2 linked regions of the Daphnia pulex genome follow. The protein of the gene in region 1 interacts with the protein of each later gene in a pairwise test. Links are inferred from orthologs where the notes say so. Each region holds a gene or a part of one and is shown in the gene's direction. Other genes may lie near its edges.

Evidence for each region.
Region 2: the proteins of BRCA1-associated protein-like (region 1) and high mobility group protein 20A-like interact in a two-hybrid assay, tested with the Homo sapiens proteins (2 studies listed by BioGRID and IntAct). The link is inferred for Daphnia pulex from reciprocal best matches to the Homo sapiens genes BRAP and HMG20A.

What each region holds. Positions count from the first base shown.
Region 1 is NC_060025.1:1,544,495-1,548,468, reverse strand, and holds BRCA1-associated protein-like, read left to right. Parts: upstream 1-1,174; 5' UTR 1,175-1,331; coding exon 1,332-1,407; intron 1,408-1,469; coding exon 1,470-1,639; intron 1,640-1,698; coding exon 1,699-1,982; intron 1,983-2,040; coding exon 2,041-2,230; intron 2,231-2,295; coding exon 2,296-2,570; intron 2,571-2,645; coding exon 2,646-2,789; intron 2,790-2,862; coding exon 2,863-3,023; intron 3,024-3,087; coding exon 3,088-3,230; intron 3,231-3,295; coding exon 3,296-3,367; intron 3,368-3,422; coding exon 3,423-3,746; 3' UTR 3,747-3,865; downstream 3,866-3,974. Other genes in the region: carboxypeptidase N subunit 2-like, read right to left, coding at 1-356, 424-657, 724-801; 2-oxoglutarate and iron-dependent oxygenase domain-containing protein 2-like, read right to left, coding at 3,909-3,974. UniProt on the Homo sapiens protein: Negatively regulates MAP kinase activation by limiting the formation of Raf/MEK complexes probably by inactivation of the KSR1 scaffold protein.
Region 2 is NC_060024.1:7,607,503-7,611,729, reverse strand, and holds the start of high mobility group protein 20A-like, read left to right. Parts: upstream 1-1,427; 5' UTR 1,428-1,620; intron 1,621-1,862; 5' UTR 1,863-1,871; coding exon 1,872-2,043; intron 2,044-2,181; coding exon 2,182-2,489; intron 2,490-2,554; coding exon 2,555-2,789; intron 2,790-3,105; coding exon of another isoform or gene 3,106-3,263; exon of another isoform or gene 3,264-3,484; intron 3,485-3,741; coding exon 3,742-3,957; coding exon of another isoform or gene 3,958-4,016; exon of another isoform or gene 4,017-4,055; intron 4,056-4,227. UniProt on the Homo sapiens protein: Plays a role in neuronal differentiation as chromatin-associated protein. Acts as inhibitor of HMG20B. Overcomes the repressive effects of the neuronal silencer REST and induces the activation of neuronal-specific genes.

The sequences.
Region 1 (3,974 bases):
GGAACGCTTAGTTCCATTTGTTGGTGCAACTTTTTGAACTCTTCGTAAGGCAGGATTTCTTCGGGAATGTCATACGTCAACTTTTGTGAAGGGGCTGATTGTTCGTCGGCTATTTCGACCACCGTGACCGGTTCCGGCGAAGGCTGATCCAGCAATTCCAAGTTGACAAGACTCAAATATTGAAGTTGAATCAAAGATTTGAGGCTATCCGAATGTAAAATGATTGATGGCGCACTACTAGACTCCTGTTGTTCAGATCCTTCGAGACCCAGCGCTCTCAAGTTGATAAATTTCGACAAATGAGTGGCCGTCAAGCGGATTTCCGGTGCGTCAGATGCTTGGATGATCTTCATGGCCTATTAAGAATTCATTTCAAATTCATTAGACACGGTTATTGAAGGATATTTAGGTATTCCAACGAACCTCGGTTTGAAACGGCAAGCGGGCCAATAGGGTTTCAATTTCCGTGTCATGTTGTTGGACACAAATTACGGCACGGAATAATAGGTCATTAGGGGCGCTACTATTGGGGCTGGCGGATGAATCCGGCTGCATTTTATTGAGTGGATGCCATTCGTCGACTATGCTGGCCAAGTAGGATTCGTGACACCAGCATTCGTGAGGACAAGACGGAGACCACGGCGCTGATTGGATACCCTTGTTTGATTTCAATTCACATTTTTGACGACAGACAAAATATAATAATAATCAATCGATTTTTACCTGAAGGAAGAGAAGAAGACTAACGACTAGGATTTTCATGATTTGGGAAATTTTACATTCACCCACGGTGGAATGCATCCGTAAAACTACTAACGAATTTTTCCAAAGGGTTCGCTAGACCGGAGAAGCATCATTATCTCTTGGAAGAGGAAGCAGATTCAACATTAAAACAAAAAAGACAAGGGATATCCTCTGGCGATATTGTCTTGTAAAATGTTCTTTTATAACGATACACGAGTAACATTGTTTTGACTAACAATGTTACTTACAGCGCCTGCATCAAATGATAAGGATTATTTATAAAATATAGTTATTTTTAAACATTGTAGGCGTCTAGGCGATTTAAATTAGTTTCATTATTTATCTTTTATTTCAATTTTTTATTATTTGATTTTTCCGTCTATTCGACTTGACTGTTGTAGATGTCTACATTTTTCACGCTAGATGTCACTATTTTCCGTTTGTTTTCTTTTGTCAATCAGTCCATCAGTCATTCGTCATCTCCTAGAAACTGTGTCGATTTTTCCTGGTCCTCTACAAGAATTTGATTCATAGTTACAAAGCAATTAATTGTAATTTTATGCATATCTAAATATCATGTTAATGATATGTCCGTTTCTCTGTGCGCTTTCCGTCTCGAACTAGGAGGTGATTCCATTGTCCCCAAGGAGCTCACCTATTTAGGTACGTGGGTCTGTCTTGCCATCTCGATTGTATTTTGTTATTATTATATTTTTAATCATCAGCCCCTCAGTTTTTGGCAATGGAAGGTAGTTCAAAAGAAAAGCCAGAAGAGAGGCTGCCCGAAGCAGAAACCTGGGAAAGAGAAAGAGCTGGTAAGGGCAGAGGTAAAAGAGAACTGCAAACAATTGAAATGGAAACTTATGAGAATGACAACACAGAGATCGGACCCTGGGTAATCATTTATCAACATGTTCATATATTTGTTGATTTTACCACAATTTGTCCATTTAGGAAATGACAAAAGGGAAAAATAGGAAATCTTCAGAGGCCAGTAAAGTAAGAACCTTGTCCAACAACAGTTCGTTTGACCAAGAATTGCCGAGTACAAGCAAAGAACCTTCTCCTGCACTGTCGACAGCCACTGGTGATGGTGAGACCGGATCTGCCTCTGGAAGTTCTCATTCAGAATTATCAGATCGTAAAAAGGCCATCACTGCCAAGGATCAATTAAGTTTCTTCTCTGGCAATCCATTTGTGGAGAAAGTTCAGGGTATTCTGCATTTCTACAAAGAAAAGTAAGTTTTCCAAATGTGTGATGGAATCAACTGAACTCATTTGTCTTCATTTTCTTAGTCACATGACTTCATTGGAAATGGATGTGCCTCGTAGCCAAATGATATGCATGCTGGCCATCCCTGCTTGGCTGAGCTGCCACGACTTACTCAATTTCCTTGCACCCTGTTGCCCTGGCATCAGAAGAGTGCGAATCATTCGAGATAAAACCCCCAACCAGTACATGGCCTTGGTACTTTTCCGTAGTCAGGTAAAAAATGAGATATTGATCGAATTGCAAATGAATTCTCTTCATCGTCGATTTCTTGAATTCAGGAAGAGGCTGACGAGTGTTACAAGACATTCAATGGTACGCCTTACAATTCGATTGAATCGGAACATTGCCACATTGTCTATGTTGCAAAAGTTGATATTTGCGGAGACACTACTGTGGGTGGAGGTGGTTTCGGTCCGCCAATGACCGGAATGACTGAGCTACCCATTTGCACGGTTTGTTTGGAACGGATGGACGAATCAGTAGATGGCATTCTGACCATTTTATGTAACCATAGCTTTCACGGAGCATGCCTTGCCAAATGGGGAGACACGACGTAAAAAAAAACGCTTATTGGCTTATGTTTCCGAAATATTGATCATAATCTCTGGCGGTATTGATTTCTTTTTAGATGTCCTGTGTGCCGATACCTGCAATCTCCTGAAATGGCTGCCGAAAGTTGCTGTTCTGAGTGCAAATCCAACGAGTCACTCTGGATTTGTTTGATTTGCGGTCATGTGGGCTGCGGGAGATACGTGGAAGGCCACGCATATCAGTAAGATTATCATAATTTGTAGCTTAAGTGGCATAATTAATGAATGATAATTGATCCCCTCTTATTATGTTAGCCATTTCTTGGAAACGCAGCATTGCTACGCGATGCAGTTGGGTAATACTCGTGTTTGGGACTATGTTGGCGATAACTTTGTCCATCGTTTGCTCCAGAACAACGAAGATGGAAAATTAGTTGAAGTCGAAGGCAACAGCAGTGGTCGGAGGCAGCAGTCTGGTAAACAACACATGCAAATCGTGTTTACTGTTTTATCGATTCAACTCTTTTGGTCGCTATTCAGGCAAAGGGAACAACATGGAACATGAAGAAAAGTTGGACTCTGTCCAATTAGAGTACTTGTATCTTCTTCAGAGTCAACTTGCTTCACAGAAAATTCACTTTGAAGGAATAATTGATCGTCTCGAACAGCAACATCGACAAGAGGTACAATTATCAATTTGTTATTATTATGTTTTCTACTTAGTCAAATACTTCCTATCACTTCCTAGCGGGAGGAAATTAAGGAAAAGGTGAAATCGACAGTCAAGGAAAATGAACGACTCAAAGTGAAAGAGAAAAAGGTAACCCAAATTTCCTTCCAATCATGGCATCCCAGTTTAAATCAATATTTTGTAGATGGCAGCCAAATTAACCAAGGCGATCGCTGATTTGCAAGAAGAAAAAGAGTTGAATCGGTCGCTCACTCATAATCAATCATCATGGCATCAGCGAGTCGCCCAATTGGAGACTCAAGTACAGAAAATTCGCGATGAAAAGGAGACTAGTGTCCGCGAGTTGCAGGAACAGCTCCAAGACGTGATGCTCTATTTCGAAGCGCAAGAGAAATTTAAAAATACTGAACTGGAGGGCGGACAAGTCGTCCTGGGTATGCCCCAATCACCATCGCGCTCCTCGCTGGATGGTAGCAAAGGTGCCAGGAATAAGAAACGTGGCAAGTGAACCACCAAGTCACCCCCACAATCATCCTTTCGTTCAACAAATGACAATGTCTTTTAAAATACGTATTCGCTTATGTTTAATAACACGGTAATACAACATACAAAAAAGTATAGATTTAATCCGCCGGAACCATATTGAAACATTTCATTTTTCCAACAATTTCTAACTTTTGATAGTAAATCCTTCTCCCCATCCTTTATCAACAGGTTCTAAAGTAGGTGTTTTCCC
Region 2 (4,227 bases), on another chromosome or scaffold:
TACAGTCCTTTATAAGTTAAAACTAAACTAAAACTAATGAAAATGTAAACGTATTATTCTTCTAGGTTATAGGCAAAATGCGGCCCGTATGGGATAGTGCTGAAAATAAAACTGGCTCCATCAGTGCGTTGTTTTGTTTATTTTCATTTTTTTTTTCAAACAAACAAATTCAAAGATTTTGAGTAGAACACCCATGGGTTTCCGCTAGAATTGTTTTTCCTTTATGGCCTTTAAATTCCTTCGAAATTAAAATTAAAATGAAACCCTCCATTGAATCAAGATGTTTTCTGCAAATAGTACATGAGGCTTAAACTAGTGTTACGAACTGTTATATGTATTATTCCCTTCAAAATATGTCATAATTTATTCCAACAACTCGAGTATGAAGACATCTTCGTCCAACGCCCATTGTAAAGTTTTTTTTTTTTTTCTTAGCTTGGAGAAAGAACGTGATTGGAAATTTCAAGCAGCGGTCAGTCTACCTAAAATGCATTGAACGGCTGGTGTCTTTTGTTTAGTGAAGGAGAACAAAGGCCCAAAGGGTCTTGAAACAAATTTGACCTGGGGGAAAGATACCTGGTTGGGGGAAGATCAGGACTAGCTACAATTTATTTCTATTTTTAAAAATAAAGCCGGATCCTCTGAAGTCTAAGCTCTAAGGTTTGCCGTTCGCCTGTAGTCTATGAATTCCGGCAAACTTGACGATTGTATTCTAATATCTATATTAGACGGTTCCGCTCGTGAGAATCGCAAGGTAATAAGGTATTGCACCATGAGTATAATAACCAGCGTTATTGCTGTGTCTACATGCTATTTGCTTAGCTTACGAAATAAAATGATGACACAGGTCGTGTTTCAAAATGTATTTCTTCATTGGGTAATCTTCGCTTTCTTTTTACTCGTAGTTCTGAATAGCAATGGTATAAAAGACAATATTTACGTTGGTTATGTAACCAAATCTGTAAATGAATACAAACGAAAATTACGAAAATGCTGCTTATTTAAAATTGCCAGCAAAATGTGCGTGGACTATCTGTTAATTAAATAAATTAGGGAGCAGATTGATTTCAATTACATTTGTAGAATATGATTACTGTTCCTAGCTGCAATTTTATCTGCACATTTCTAATTCGATGATATTCCGTTTTAAAAAAAAATTCACGATTAGCAAATGTAATTTCGAGTTTTCGACATCGAAAACACTCCATCTAGGTACATGTGATTTTTGACGCGGAGAAAATCAAATTTAAGCTTCTTCTGGTTATACTTTTTACTTAACAATATAATTCGAACACATATTTCATTGAAAACTTGTAATTAAAAAGAAATCGCAGATTTCAACGAATGACAATTTTGTTTAATAAAGAATGTTCAGAAATGGCGGGAAAGTGAAGCCTAGCTAGAAGGCATGTATGTATCAACGTTTCATTTGGCGCATCCCGGTAAGAAGAGGGTTCTGAAGTCCAGGCATACGCTGTGATACGCTGCTTGCTTGCTTGGCTTTTTCTTGTTCGACCTCGCCTCGTGTTGCCTTTCGTGGTCGGAATTTTTACCCTCCGAATTTAGACAATTTATCTGAAATCTCGGCCTTTTTCTGATCTACATGCATTACTCTTCGAGGTAACAGGTTTTATACGTTATATTAAGTCTTAAATATCTTGGTTTGGAGGTGCAACTGACCAGTAAATAGGACCACCAACAACATCGGTTTAATGGCGTTCAAAAGTGACGCATATCGATTAGGTTGAATTTATTAAGTCTTTTACCTCCCCCTGATAGCTTGCTAATTTGCGTTTTGTCTTGTTGTATATTTAAGTTTCAAAATTTAATGGTCTAAACTTATGATTTGTAAACATTTCCAGGTATAAGTAATGGAAGGTCATCACCAGCAGTCTAATGCAACCAATATGCACCAGCAGCACACAAATCCAGAACCAACCACTAAAAATCGTAGTGCAGGAGGAGGAGGTGCAGGCAAAACAAGTAAAAAGAGGAAAAGGAATCAAGATCTTGGTCCAGGAGCCCCTCGTCAACCTGTTAATGGTATAGATATTCTTGTCCTTGTTCACTCTAAATTTAACTATTAGACATATTTGCTTCTGAGCATCTTTGATTTTACTTCAACTTTATTCAGTTACTTATAGGGCATTCCATTGATTTTAAACATTTTTAATTTTGCAGGTTATGTACGGTTCCTAAACGAAAGAAGAGAACAAGTACGAGCTGCCAATCCAAGTGCAGGTTTTGCTGATATTATGAAAATAATGGCCCAAGAATGGACTCAACTACCTGCTGAGGAAAAGCAAAAATATATGCAAGCTGCTGAACAGGACCGTCAACGCTATCAAAAAGAATTGCAAGAATATCAACAGACAGAAGCTTACAAAAGCTATGTTCAACAGCAACAACAGCAACATGTTCAACAACAATTACATTTGCAACAACAACAAAGACAAGCTATGCAAGCTACTCATCAATCTCAGTCACAGGTAACATTGGTTTTTCCTTCTATCTGTGTACATTAATTTTTATCAAAAACACACGTCATGTACAGCAACAACCGGCGGCACATTCATCTCACAGCCAAGTCCAGGCTCAGCCATACATTCAACAAATCCAGAGTTACAACCCCCAGTTGCATATTGTCCAACATATGCAGCCAGGGCAACATCAACAGCATGGCGATAGAAGTAACAATGCCGCTGGTCACCGTCCTGATGGGTCAGGAAATCAAGTCGGTGTGTTCGACATTCCCATCTTCACGGAAGAATTTCTCGATCACAACAAAGGTACGATTATTTTAATAAAATTTCTATGTGTAGTTTGAAATGGAAATGCATTATTTTTATGTTGTTCATTTAGTTAGAATTTGATTTGTTAAGGACCTTTTGTTTCAAAAACAAATAGATTAAAAAAAACTGGTTTTCTTAAAAAACAAAAGAAGGATCTCAATTAAGATGTATTGTGTAGGACAAGTTTTTGGCTCTTATAGTTAAGAAGACTCCACCACACTGCCTTCTAGCCGTACACTACGCTCAAGGCGTGTAAAAAAGAAAAGTTACAGTTGTAGGCAGTGTGATGGATCTTGGCCTATTTTTAATCTAGTGAGCATTGCACCAATGCATGGGTCTGGCTATTCCTTCTTACCCATCACCTTGAAACCGTTTCCTTCTAACCCTGTTATGTTTGATGTGGCTTTTCAAAATGATTCAATAGTAGATGCTAAACGAGCTAAGCTGCCGATGTGTCATTTTCTCGTGTAGCGACTGGGGTGCAGGCCTTCTTCAATGCAAGAAATTTAATTGTTTTGTGAAAAGGATTTGATCCATAACTTTTTAACCACCAATGTATACTTTGAAGGATTTGAGTATATCTCATGGGGAAATGTTTTAAGATTGCGTGTATTCAGTGATAAAAATAAGTGTGGGATTTTATGCTTATTCCAAAGTTTTTACGGAATGAATAAAAGAAATTGCTGGGTTTACAATGCCATTGTGATGGTAGTGATTTCTTAGGGTAATGAAAAAGTACAAAATTGCATGCTCAAGTAAGATTTTTAGCTGTTTAAGTTGCCGAAGATTATGACACATTGGTTATTTTAAAACTATTGAGCCAAAGCCAAGTAGAATCGGAATTTTTTCCGTTGACACCAAAAATTTGTCTGGACTACCATTCCATTCAAATCATAAAGAAATTCCTTTGAACCCTTGACAACCCTGTAATGGTCCTGCCCCGTCTTAGTCCGAGAAACAGAGCTGCGGCAGCTGCGGAAAGCTTCAGCCGAGTACGAGGAGCAGAATAGCGCCCTGCGGAAGCACGTCGAGACTCTTCAAGCGGCCGTCAGTCGACTGGAAGCGGAAACAGAGCAGCAGCGACGACACAGCGCCGCGCTACAGCATCACCTCGACAGCCTGCGCGATGTGCTGGCCAACAGTTTTGCCCATTTGCCCCTTCCAGGTGAACCAACTTTCAGAATCTATTCAGATTTAAGAATGGACCAAATCTGGAAATACTAGCCTGTTTCTATATCTGATTCCAATCGAGTAGCCGCTAAGGTACGAATTTCGACAACTTTCGCTGAACTTTTTTTATCTGTCCTTTTCTTGGCACACCATTCTTGCTTTTCTTGAGAAAAAAAAGGGGGTTTGCAGTAGCCTTCGTTCATTCAATCAAGATTCAGAGTTGGTTTTGACAATTTGGTTTCCTTAAAAGTAAATCCGATCGAAA